2 linked regions of the Drosophila melanogaster genome follow. The protein of the gene in region 2 interacts with the protein of the main gene of each other region in a pairwise test. Each region holds a gene or a part of one and is shown on either strand. Other genes may lie near its edges. The genes, in order: CG10809 and Nup58.

Region 1 (5,167 bases), on a different chromosome or scaffold from region 2:
ATCATAATATTTGTTAAGAACGTTCACAATGCTATTTTCTGTGTAGCGTGCGTAACGACCATTTGAATATGTTGATCATTTCGCTCAACGAAACGTAACCGACGTGGGAAGAAGAGGAGACAGGGCTTTTCTTCTTTTTTTCCGTTTCCAGCTGTCCACTCGATTCCTCCTCCTCCTCCATTTGCCCCGCCCACAAAATTCGAAGCTAGGCGCAGATGTTATAAATATAGTATTTTGTGGCATTTCCATTCGTATGAATGGGTCTACGAGTTTCGGTTTCAGGTTTTTGGGCCTGTTTATAAACCCACTCCTCCCATATTTTCTCATATTTATGTCCGGAAAAGTGTTTTGGTCATTTGTCTAGCTTCCGTTATTATTTCGTTATGAATGAAAAACCCATTTGGACCGGGTTTTTTGATCTCCCTAATTTACAACATTTATTTAGTATTAACTCGATCTTGACGTCAATATGGGTTCGTAAACTTCGTTTACTATTTGCGTCGTGAACAAGTTTCTTAAAACGTTTAGTTTTTCTTATCCACCTCATGTTAATGTGAAGTTTACACATAAATACTCATAAAAGACCCCAATGTGGGTTTTCCTAATCGCACTTTGAATACATTTAAACGGCAAGAGGAAAAGGCTGTTAAATAGATTTATAGATGATTTTCAAGCTTCGATTTTTTTTGTTGAATTTATGGATTTTAAAATATATACCAATCAAGGGCAATTAGTATATCAAAACCGTTTGTCATAATGCATTAATAGACTTGGCAACACCAAACTTATGTTAAAATGAAGTTTCAAGTTGTATCTAAGTAGAAACGTTTTCAGTTTGATTTTCTGAAAAGGATTTTCTAGATTATTTGATTGTCAGATCCTCACCACAAACCAGATTCACTCAGAAGTCCTCTCAGTTATTTAGTTACAGATTTCGGCTTGATCTGCGGATTAAGTCAAATGGCCGTTTGGTTTTTCGTTTATTGTTCAGAGAGTGTTTACACGCATATGGTTTTTTTTTTTGTTATAGTATACAATAGACACTTAACGATTTCCAAGTAATGTAGTCATTTAGTTAAATGTAATGTAGCAAATTGTTAGGTGTCCTCTTGAGTTGCGATTGCATCATTATTACATAACTTGATTTCTTTTTGTTTTTGGCGCGCTAAACGTAAAGCTTAAAATGTAATCATGTTTGTTGATTGTTTGCATAAACAATAAGCCTTAAATGAAATACTTAATAAAAAGATCGCATAAAACAATGTGTGTTTTCTTTTGTGTGTGGGTGTGTATGTGTGTGCTTGTGTGTTTGAGAGCGTTGGTCGCATTTGGCAGCTTTGTGGGTTTAGGATCGGGCGCAGGATCTCAATCTCCTCCAGCTGCTTGTCACAATGCCAACTCCAGCTCAACGGCAGCCAAATTAGGAAACGATAAACAAACTGCAACGAAAAGAAAGCAGTTGATTAGTATCACTAGTCTGAAAAAATATTAAAACCAATATTCCGAACCATTTGACATATAATTAAGGTATTGTAAACATTATTGCTTCTAATCTTGTGAGTGACTAAGATCACAAATGCTTTGCGGAATGGCAAATGCGACGTCACATGCTTTATAGATAACGTTTTTAAAAACACAACTTGGGGTTTCATTATTTGTATTGCATATATGTATATTTGTATATATCTGTAGACTATTTGTTTTCATACTCACTTTTTTCTCAACTCATCGAACGCAATTTGGGCCAGCCTGCGGTCGGGTTACCCTGGCGTCCAGTTTACGTCCCGTCTACTTGTTGTTGATTGATAGCCGCTCGACACTGGCGAGCAGCTCATCGGCGGTCTGGGATACGACCTGCTCTTGGTCATCGCTGGTGCTCAGGTTCTGCAGTCGCTTCTCCAGCGCGGAGAGATCCTCCAGCTCGCGCTGCTGCTTTACCATGTAGCGTAAGATGAGCGTGGTCAGCATGCACATGTCCTCGAGGATTTTGGCCGTCTCCGGCGTAGGGTGATCGTAACGATTGCGCAGCAATCTTAGCTTGGCCTCGGCGAGCTCCAGCGGTGACTTGTTGCTGCGATCGTACATGTGGACACTGGCGCCGCCCTGGAGCAGCACACCCACCACAACGTTGAAGTTATTGGAGCTGGCCGAAATCACAGCCAGATGGAGTGGGGTATTCCCCAGCGAGTCGACTACATTTGGGTTCGCTCCGTACTTTAGTAGCTGCTGGACAATGGGTATGTAGCCACGACAGGCGGCCAGATGCAGGGGACTACGATTGTACTCGTCGGCGGCATTTGGATTGGCCCCACCCTCAAGGATGCGGTTGAGCAGCTCGATGTTGCAGGTGGAGGCGGCGGTGCGCAGTTTGCGGCCATTTGACTGGACGATTATGTTGCTGTAGCTGTAGGAGTGCTTTAGACGCTGCATTCGCGGCCGCATCTTGAAGCTTTTGCTACCCGAGGGCAGGGTGCTTGGATGAATCAGGCTGGGCAGATACTCGGCATTGGAGGCATTTGGATTCAGCGGCAGGGGCGGCAGATGCGGCAGGGCAAAGTGCTCGCCCCGATCTCTGCTCAGCTGGAATGATGCATTCGTGCTGGGGTTTGAACTCATGTTCAGGTTGAGGTTGATGTTCATGTGGGGCCACTCGCCGTGCGTGTTGGGCGACGATGTGGGCGTGGGCGGCATTGCCGGTGGCGGCGGCGTTATCATGATCCCCTTGGAGGCGCTGGTGGGCATGGGCATCGGTGTCGATTTGGCCAGTACCATGGCCATCGACATGGGCGATGGCGGCATCGACATCTCCACCTCCTCCTTGGCCGACTCCACGCCGGAGGAATCGTTGTTGGTGGCCGCAGCCATAGCTTGGTCGCAATCGGATTGTGTGCCCCGTTGCCAGTGATGCAGTGCGTCTGTGTTCCTGGTTTCAGTGTTTGGGCCTAAGGCGAAAAAACTCTTCCCATGCACGCGCTGCTTATTTTCCTGTCTGTATTGTTTGTTTATTTTTGCTTCTTTTCCTGCCCACTTTGGTCACTCTGACCACCCGTTATTGGTGTGACCCTGCCGTCCCTGAGCGTATTAATCTTGATCTGCAATGGTTTATCTTCATCTATTGCGTTCGTAGTCCTCGTTTTAAAACACTTTGACTCACTTTGTTATGGATTTTTATGTGTTGGGACGCAGAGCAAAAATTCTTGGCTCGTCTGTATTGTTTGTATTTGTTTTGGCCTATCGATACATACATATGTCTAGTGTGCTAGCTATCGATTGGAAGAATGGAACTTCTGGCGAGGACACTATCGCGATTAGCCAGCCCTGGTAGGCTAAATATTTAAACATAAAAATATTTTAAAAAACAATTATAACATTTTTTAACATCCAGTATTGTAGTCTTAAAAAAATATTTTAATGTTTTCAGCTTTTCATTTCTCTGCCATGAAGTTAAATTTAGTATTCAACAACTAAACCCATTAAGTAATTAAACCAATTAATCTTATAACCTGCAATCTCAAGATCTATAATTTAATGTATGTTAGCTTCTGGACCAGTACTACAACTATTTTAATGGGAATTCATTAAAAACAGGTTTAAACACTTAAAAAGTTTTATTCAAAATTCGTGCTCGACATACTACATACACATTCATTTTCTAACAGAGGCACGGAATGTTTTTATCAATTAAACGACTCAATTGGAGGGTTACGTACAATAAAATACATGGCCGATTATAATACATTAAATAAAAGATTTTCGAAATTAATGTGCTGATATGGTACCCTCTTAAGTCCAATAACACAATATACAAAGCGTATTTCGTTTGCTAATCCTGGAGATGAAGCCTCGGAATTGGAAAAATTAAGGATAATCACACAGATTCTGTTTTGTAGCCAAGTGGTGGGAGGATATCGGTGCTATTGAGAGTGGAAGTCCCAGCGAGTGAGCTGATTTAGACCTCAGAAAAGGTGCTTAATAAAAACGAAGAGGGTTAAACGAGTCTAAAGTACACGGACATGAATCGAAAGGATCCCTCGAATGAGAGATCTCTACAGCAAATGCGGTCTAAATCCGTCTTGCATGCTATTTTAGGAAATTGATCATCTCGATTATCTTATTCCGATTGGCGTGCATATACGCCTTAGTGTGCCACAGCATATTGATCAGTTTTTGGTCGTCCTTTTCGTCCATGGCGATGTCCTCGCTCAGCTGAGGATTGAACCTGAAGTAGGGTATGCCAATCGTGCTGCACCAGGCGCGAGCTCTGTCCACTACTCTTCCATCGGAGCAGGTGGCCTGGTCCACTAGCAGATTGCCTAGCAAGGATATGCATTTGATTAAGAAAGCACACGAGTATATTATAGATAAGGTGCCTTACCAATGGTAGAGATTCCGTAGGCCAGTTTGGCCGTATCCCAGATGCTCTCCGGCCGGAAGACATCAATGTCCTTAAGTTCAGTCACCGGAATATGACCCGTGCCCAGCGACATCACCACGGATACAGGTATGGCCTCTGATTCGCGTCCAGCGCTACGCAAGGCCATATTGTACTCGTGAATCTCGGTCATGGCGTCTAGAGTCGGGTTGTTGGCAATCAAGCCGCCGTCCAGAAAGCGACCAAATGCGCGGAAATATGAGGGCGCAGCTCCAGTAGCCCGAGCAGCACGCCATACCAATTGTTCCGAAGGCTGAGGAGGAGGAATTCTTCGGTTGTCTAAAAGATTAAAATAAAATTAGAGAGCTATCTCGATAATTGGTTGATATCTCACTTACTAATTGGAGTCACAATGCCCAAAATGTCACTGGCGCTCGTATAGTTGCGGAATAGATGTAGATCGACCGGCTTGCGATCCGCCATCACACCAGTGACCATGATCTTCGGGTGCTTAATATCCGTCATCACGTTAAACTCGCCCAGATTGTCCTTCAAAATGGACTCGAAAAACTCGCTGTTATAGGGCCGTGAGCCCACAAAACACTGCTCCTTCATGCGCAAATAGAGGCCCATGCATTGACGCATCGTTTTGCCGCAACCCAGCGCCAAAGCTAGAATTCCGCCAGTACTGGTGCCGGCAATCCAGTCGAACATATGGATAATAGGAGTGCGAGAAAGCTTTTCTATTTCGAGTAGCATCTGTACCAGGACTAGACCACGAATGCCACCACCATC
Region 2 (4,374 bases):
TTCCGCGAAGACTGCACCGAGGACGAGTTCATCGACGTGGTCACCGCCAACCGTGTGTATCTGCCCTGTCTGTATGTCTACAACAAGATCGATCAGATCTCCATCGAGGAGGTGGACCGCTTGGCGCGCCAGCCAAACTCGATAGTGGTTAGTTGCAACATGAAACTTAATCTGGACTACATGATGGAGGCGCTCTGGGAAGCTCTCCAGCTCATCAGAGTGTACACAAAGAAGCCAGGCGCTCCTCCAGACTTTGACGATGGATTGATTCTGAGAAAGGCAAGAGACTGTTTTCCATTCATCCAATTCCTTCTTCAGCCTGGTAAAGCAACTCTAATTCCTTATATATTCCTTGTTTAGGGCGTCAGTGTGGAGCATGTGTGCCATGCCATCCATCGCACGCTGGCGGCGCAGTTCAAGTATGCCCTGGTGTGGGGCACCTCCACGAAATACTCGCCGCAGCGCGTGGGGATTGCCCATGTGATGGCCGACGAGGACGTCATCCAGGTGGTGAAGAAATAAAGATTGTTGCGTGTGAAATATATATTCTATGCTATAACTGAAAGTGAAAGTCTAGGCCCCTTTCGACATAACGATTTATTGAAACTTGTAAAGAGTGCCATTCTCAATTGCCTGTCGCATTGCTGGCGGAACTGGCCGCCGCTGCATAGGACTTGTTCATCAGAGCCGAGATGTTGGAGAAGGGCGTTGGACCGCTACTAATCCGTTGAGGTTCCACCGTCGGCAGCGGAGGATTGTCAATCCGCTCGAAAACGTTGGTGGTGTCTCGCAGGCGGTAGCGTCTGAGGTTTAGGTAGTGCTCCTTGTGCTCCTCCACCCGCTGATGCACCTCGTGGAGGCGTCCCGCCAGCGAGATGAAACTCTCATTAAGTTGGCGAAAGCCACGCTTTAGATCATCCGGCGAAATACTCTGCGGATTCGAGATCGCGTGCATGTGGCGCTCGGTCAGAGCGATCTGCTGGCGAAAGGCGATCAAATCCTGCTCGTACTTCGCCACCAGGCACTGAAAGTACTGGAACGGAGCATTGTTCTCGAACTGCAGGCCGGCTGGGGTGTCCTGCGTGCGTTGGGCCATCTCCAGAGATTGAATCGCCTTGACGGTCTCTTGGCGCATCAGGCGGATCTGCTGATTGCTGCCCTCAACTAAAGTGGCCATATTCTGCAGCGCCCATTTCAAGTTCGTGATCTCGTGGCTGACATTCGTGAATTTGGAGGTGGATGTCCGTCCAATGTCAGAGGAGATGGTCTTCTGCTGTTTGATATACGCTTTTAGGCCATCCACCGTTTTTATTATCTCGTCGGGCACTTGGGTTTCCTTAATCTGGAGTGGTCGAAAATAAAATGATTATTTTGTTTCTCTGTGAAAGACTCATGGTCAGCACCTTGATGCCATCTTGCTTATTGTCCCCCAGCTTTGGTTGCGTGGCGGTCACATCGATCCCCCCCAGACCCACGAAAGTCGATGCTGCCGGGGCAGCTGCCTGACCCGCTGGCTTGCTAAAGATTCCTCCTCCTCCTAGGGTTGTCGTCGCATTGGTGGTTCCCAGTTTCAGACCCGTGTTGAAGGGTTGTGCCGTCGCCGTCGTCGTGGTTGTGTTAAAGTTCAAGCTGGCCGCCGTGGTGGCCTGTGGCTTGGGGAAGGAAAACGATCCAATTCCGGAGCTGAGGGATGCTGGCATCGCAGCTGCCGCCGTTGTGGCGGTGGTGCCGAATCCAAAGGCCGGCGGCGCGGTGGTCGGCGCACTTGTGGCCGGGGTGGCAAAGGAGAAAGTGGGAGCCACAGTGCCCACGGCTGGTGCAGGTGCTCCGAAGGCCGATGCTTGCGTGGAAGCTGGCGCTCCAAACGCCGTTGTGGCTGCTGGTGCTCCAAAGGCGGATGTAGCGGCGGGTGCTCCAAAAGCGGGCGTGGCGGCGGGTGCTCCGAAAGCGGGAGTGGCAGCTGCAGCTCCAAAAGCGGGCGTAGCAGCTGGAGCTCCAAAAGCCGACGTTGCTGCTGGTATGCCAAAAGCGGGCGTGGCAGCAGCCGTTCCAAAAGCCGGCGCCGCAGTGGAAGTGGCGCCAAAACCAGGCGTGGACGCAGGTGCTCCAAAAGCCGGCGTAGCAGCTGGTGCCCCAAAGGCCGGTGTGGCCGCGGGAGCTGCAAACAAGGAGGTGGTGGCCGGAGCAGCACCGAAGGTTGGCGTAGAGGTGGCTGCTCCAAAGGATGGAGGCGGAGCAGTCGTCGTCGCCGGTCGCGCGCCAAAAGCAAAAGCGCCGGTAGCAGCAGTGGCGCCTCCAATGGCGTTGTTCGTGGTGGGCGTAAACATCTTTAGGCACCCCTCTTAAGGATTTATACAGGAATTTTAAACAATTAAACTATATTTACTGCAACAAATTTCGAAATTAATTTTGTTTAATGCCTGAGCATCTGTGGTTTAACTTCTAGGACAGAGATGACACTATCGGTGATATCGATAGCTAGTCAGCAGAGATTTATTCGGAAAAATATCAACAAAGTATTCAAATTGATTGAAATAAATACACTATGGCTAAAGATATATAAAGTATTTGCAGCTTCATATAGTTACGATTTGTGATTTTCAAATATTTAATTTTGGTCTGAGGTGTGGTGAGTTCGGTCCACTACAACATGGTTGTTATTTAATATCAAACGATAGCCTTCAGATATTAATATGAATAAATTATTTCAAAATTTAATCTTTATGTATTTCAATTTTAAAATAATATAAAGAATTTTTTACGAACTAATTTCTTACAATAGCTTTAAATACAGCCGGAACTATTACAGTGCGAAGCAGATTAAACGCTGCATTTAAATTAAAATGAATTAAAGTTTACAAAATTATAAAAGAAAAATATTCATGATGGGAATAAATGAGAAAGTTAATGCTTACAAAAACGTCAAATTATTTAATACTTCTGGCCAATACAATACCAAACAATAATATACAACTAAGCTAATCGATATGCAATCGACCGAGCCATCTCCAAGAGTTTCGCAGCACCCAGCTTTCCGGCACACTGCTTACCCACACCAACTAGCCACCGTGGTGAGTTTGCGTGTGTGTGACTTCGTCATATGACATTTTTCACAGTTCGTCGTCGATTGTGATTCTGTCGCACTTGCTTTTTTCGACTTGCACAGTATACACCACGGCGAGGAATTAGAGAAGTTTGGAAATTATGGCCAGCCAGACGCAGGGAATCCAGCAGTTGCTCGCTGCCGAGAAAAAGGCAGCCGAGAAGGTCGCCGAGGCTCGTAAACGTAAGTTTCATTTTCAGAAACAAAAATCCAATTGGAAATGGCAGGGCGACAAGTAACTGCGATTTTTTCACCACCCCGCCCCCGTGCTACCATAACCACCATCACCGTTGTGTGTGGGTCACATGATGTGGTGGAAAAAAGTAAATACAAGTCAATCCTCCATAACTCGAGATATAAATCAAATTAAACTAAATTAAATTAAATTAAATTAAATTAAAATTGTTTGTGGCCACTAAGACTGCAACTTAAGTGCAGTAAATAGTTTTTGTGCGAGTTGGCACTTTAAGTTATGGAAGGTCATCTTGCGGAGGGCTGATTTGCCAAGTTGAACTGATATGATCATCTGGATTTCTGGGTAATCCCGCAGGCAAGGCAAGGAGGTTGAAGCAAGCCAAGGACGAGGCTACCGAGGAGATCGAGAAGTTCCGCCAGGAGCGCGAGCGCGCCTTCAAGGAGTTCGAGGCCAAGGTAAGACGCCACATAGGGAAACTTATGTACATGTAATACCGTGTGAACCCCGATTACAGCACATGGGCAGTCGCGAGGGCGTGGCGGCCAAGATCGATGCGGATATCCGCGTTAAGCTGGCCGACATGGACCGGGCCATCCAGACCCGCAAGGACCCGTTCATCCTGGAGATCCTGCAGTACGTGTACAACATCTCGCCCGAGGTGCACAAAAACTACAACCACAAGTAAAGAGGTGGCCCCCCAAACTGTGCGCTGTAAATTCAATGTCCACGTTCAACTCTAATCCATAATTTAGACCCGTAATAATAGTGGTTAATCTAACTGGAAACACTGCTGTATTATTATTCCATACATTAAAGTGAAAATTCGTTGTTGTTCCATGTAGAAAAAAGCGAGCATATTAGTTTGCCTCCCACTCGCGCGGGATTGTATTATCATTGTTTTGTGTTCTGCCCAATACACGTTGTTGTTTTATCCGAAAAGTCATGTGTTTCAATTGTTTTCCTCACTTTCTTCCTGCTCGCATTTTTCATATCTGCACTGCAGTCAGCTGCTGCGTGATAAGATTTTTGCGGCGAGTTCATTTCATCGGTGCTCAACACTGGCGATGGCGATAGT

The links.
Region 1: the proteins of Nup58 (region 2) and CG10809 interact in a two-hybrid assay, tested with the Drosophila melanogaster proteins (one large-scale study listed by BioGRID).

What each region holds. Positions count from the first base shown.
Region 1 is NT_037436.4:9,856,625-9,861,791, forward strand, and holds CG10809 (uncharacterized protein), read right to left. Parts: upstream 3,266-5,167; 5' UTR 2,866-3,265; coding exon 1,789-2,865; 3' UTR 1,714-1,788; intron 1,440-1,713; 3' UTR 759-1,439; downstream 1-758. Other genes in the region: iPLA2-VIA (calcium-independent phospholipase A2 VIA), read right to left, coding at 4,081-4,313, 4,376-4,711, 4,771-5,167.
Region 2 is NT_033777.3:19,643,118-19,647,491, reverse strand, and holds Nup58 (nucleoporin 58kD), read right to left. Parts: upstream 2,467-4,374; 5' UTR 2,328-2,466; coding exon 1,404-2,327; intron 1,343-1,403; coding exon 626-1,342; 3' UTR 586-625; downstream 1-585. Other genes in the region: CG6195 (uncharacterized protein), read left to right, coding at 1-279, 361-522; Vha13 (vacuolar H[+] ATPase 13kD subunit), read left to right, coding at 3,205-3,286, 3,654-3,754, 3,814-3,984. UniProt on the Drosophila melanogaster protein: Component of the nuclear pore complex, a complex required for the trafficking across the nuclear membrane. Together with Nup54, required for transposable element silencing regulation in ovarian follicle cells.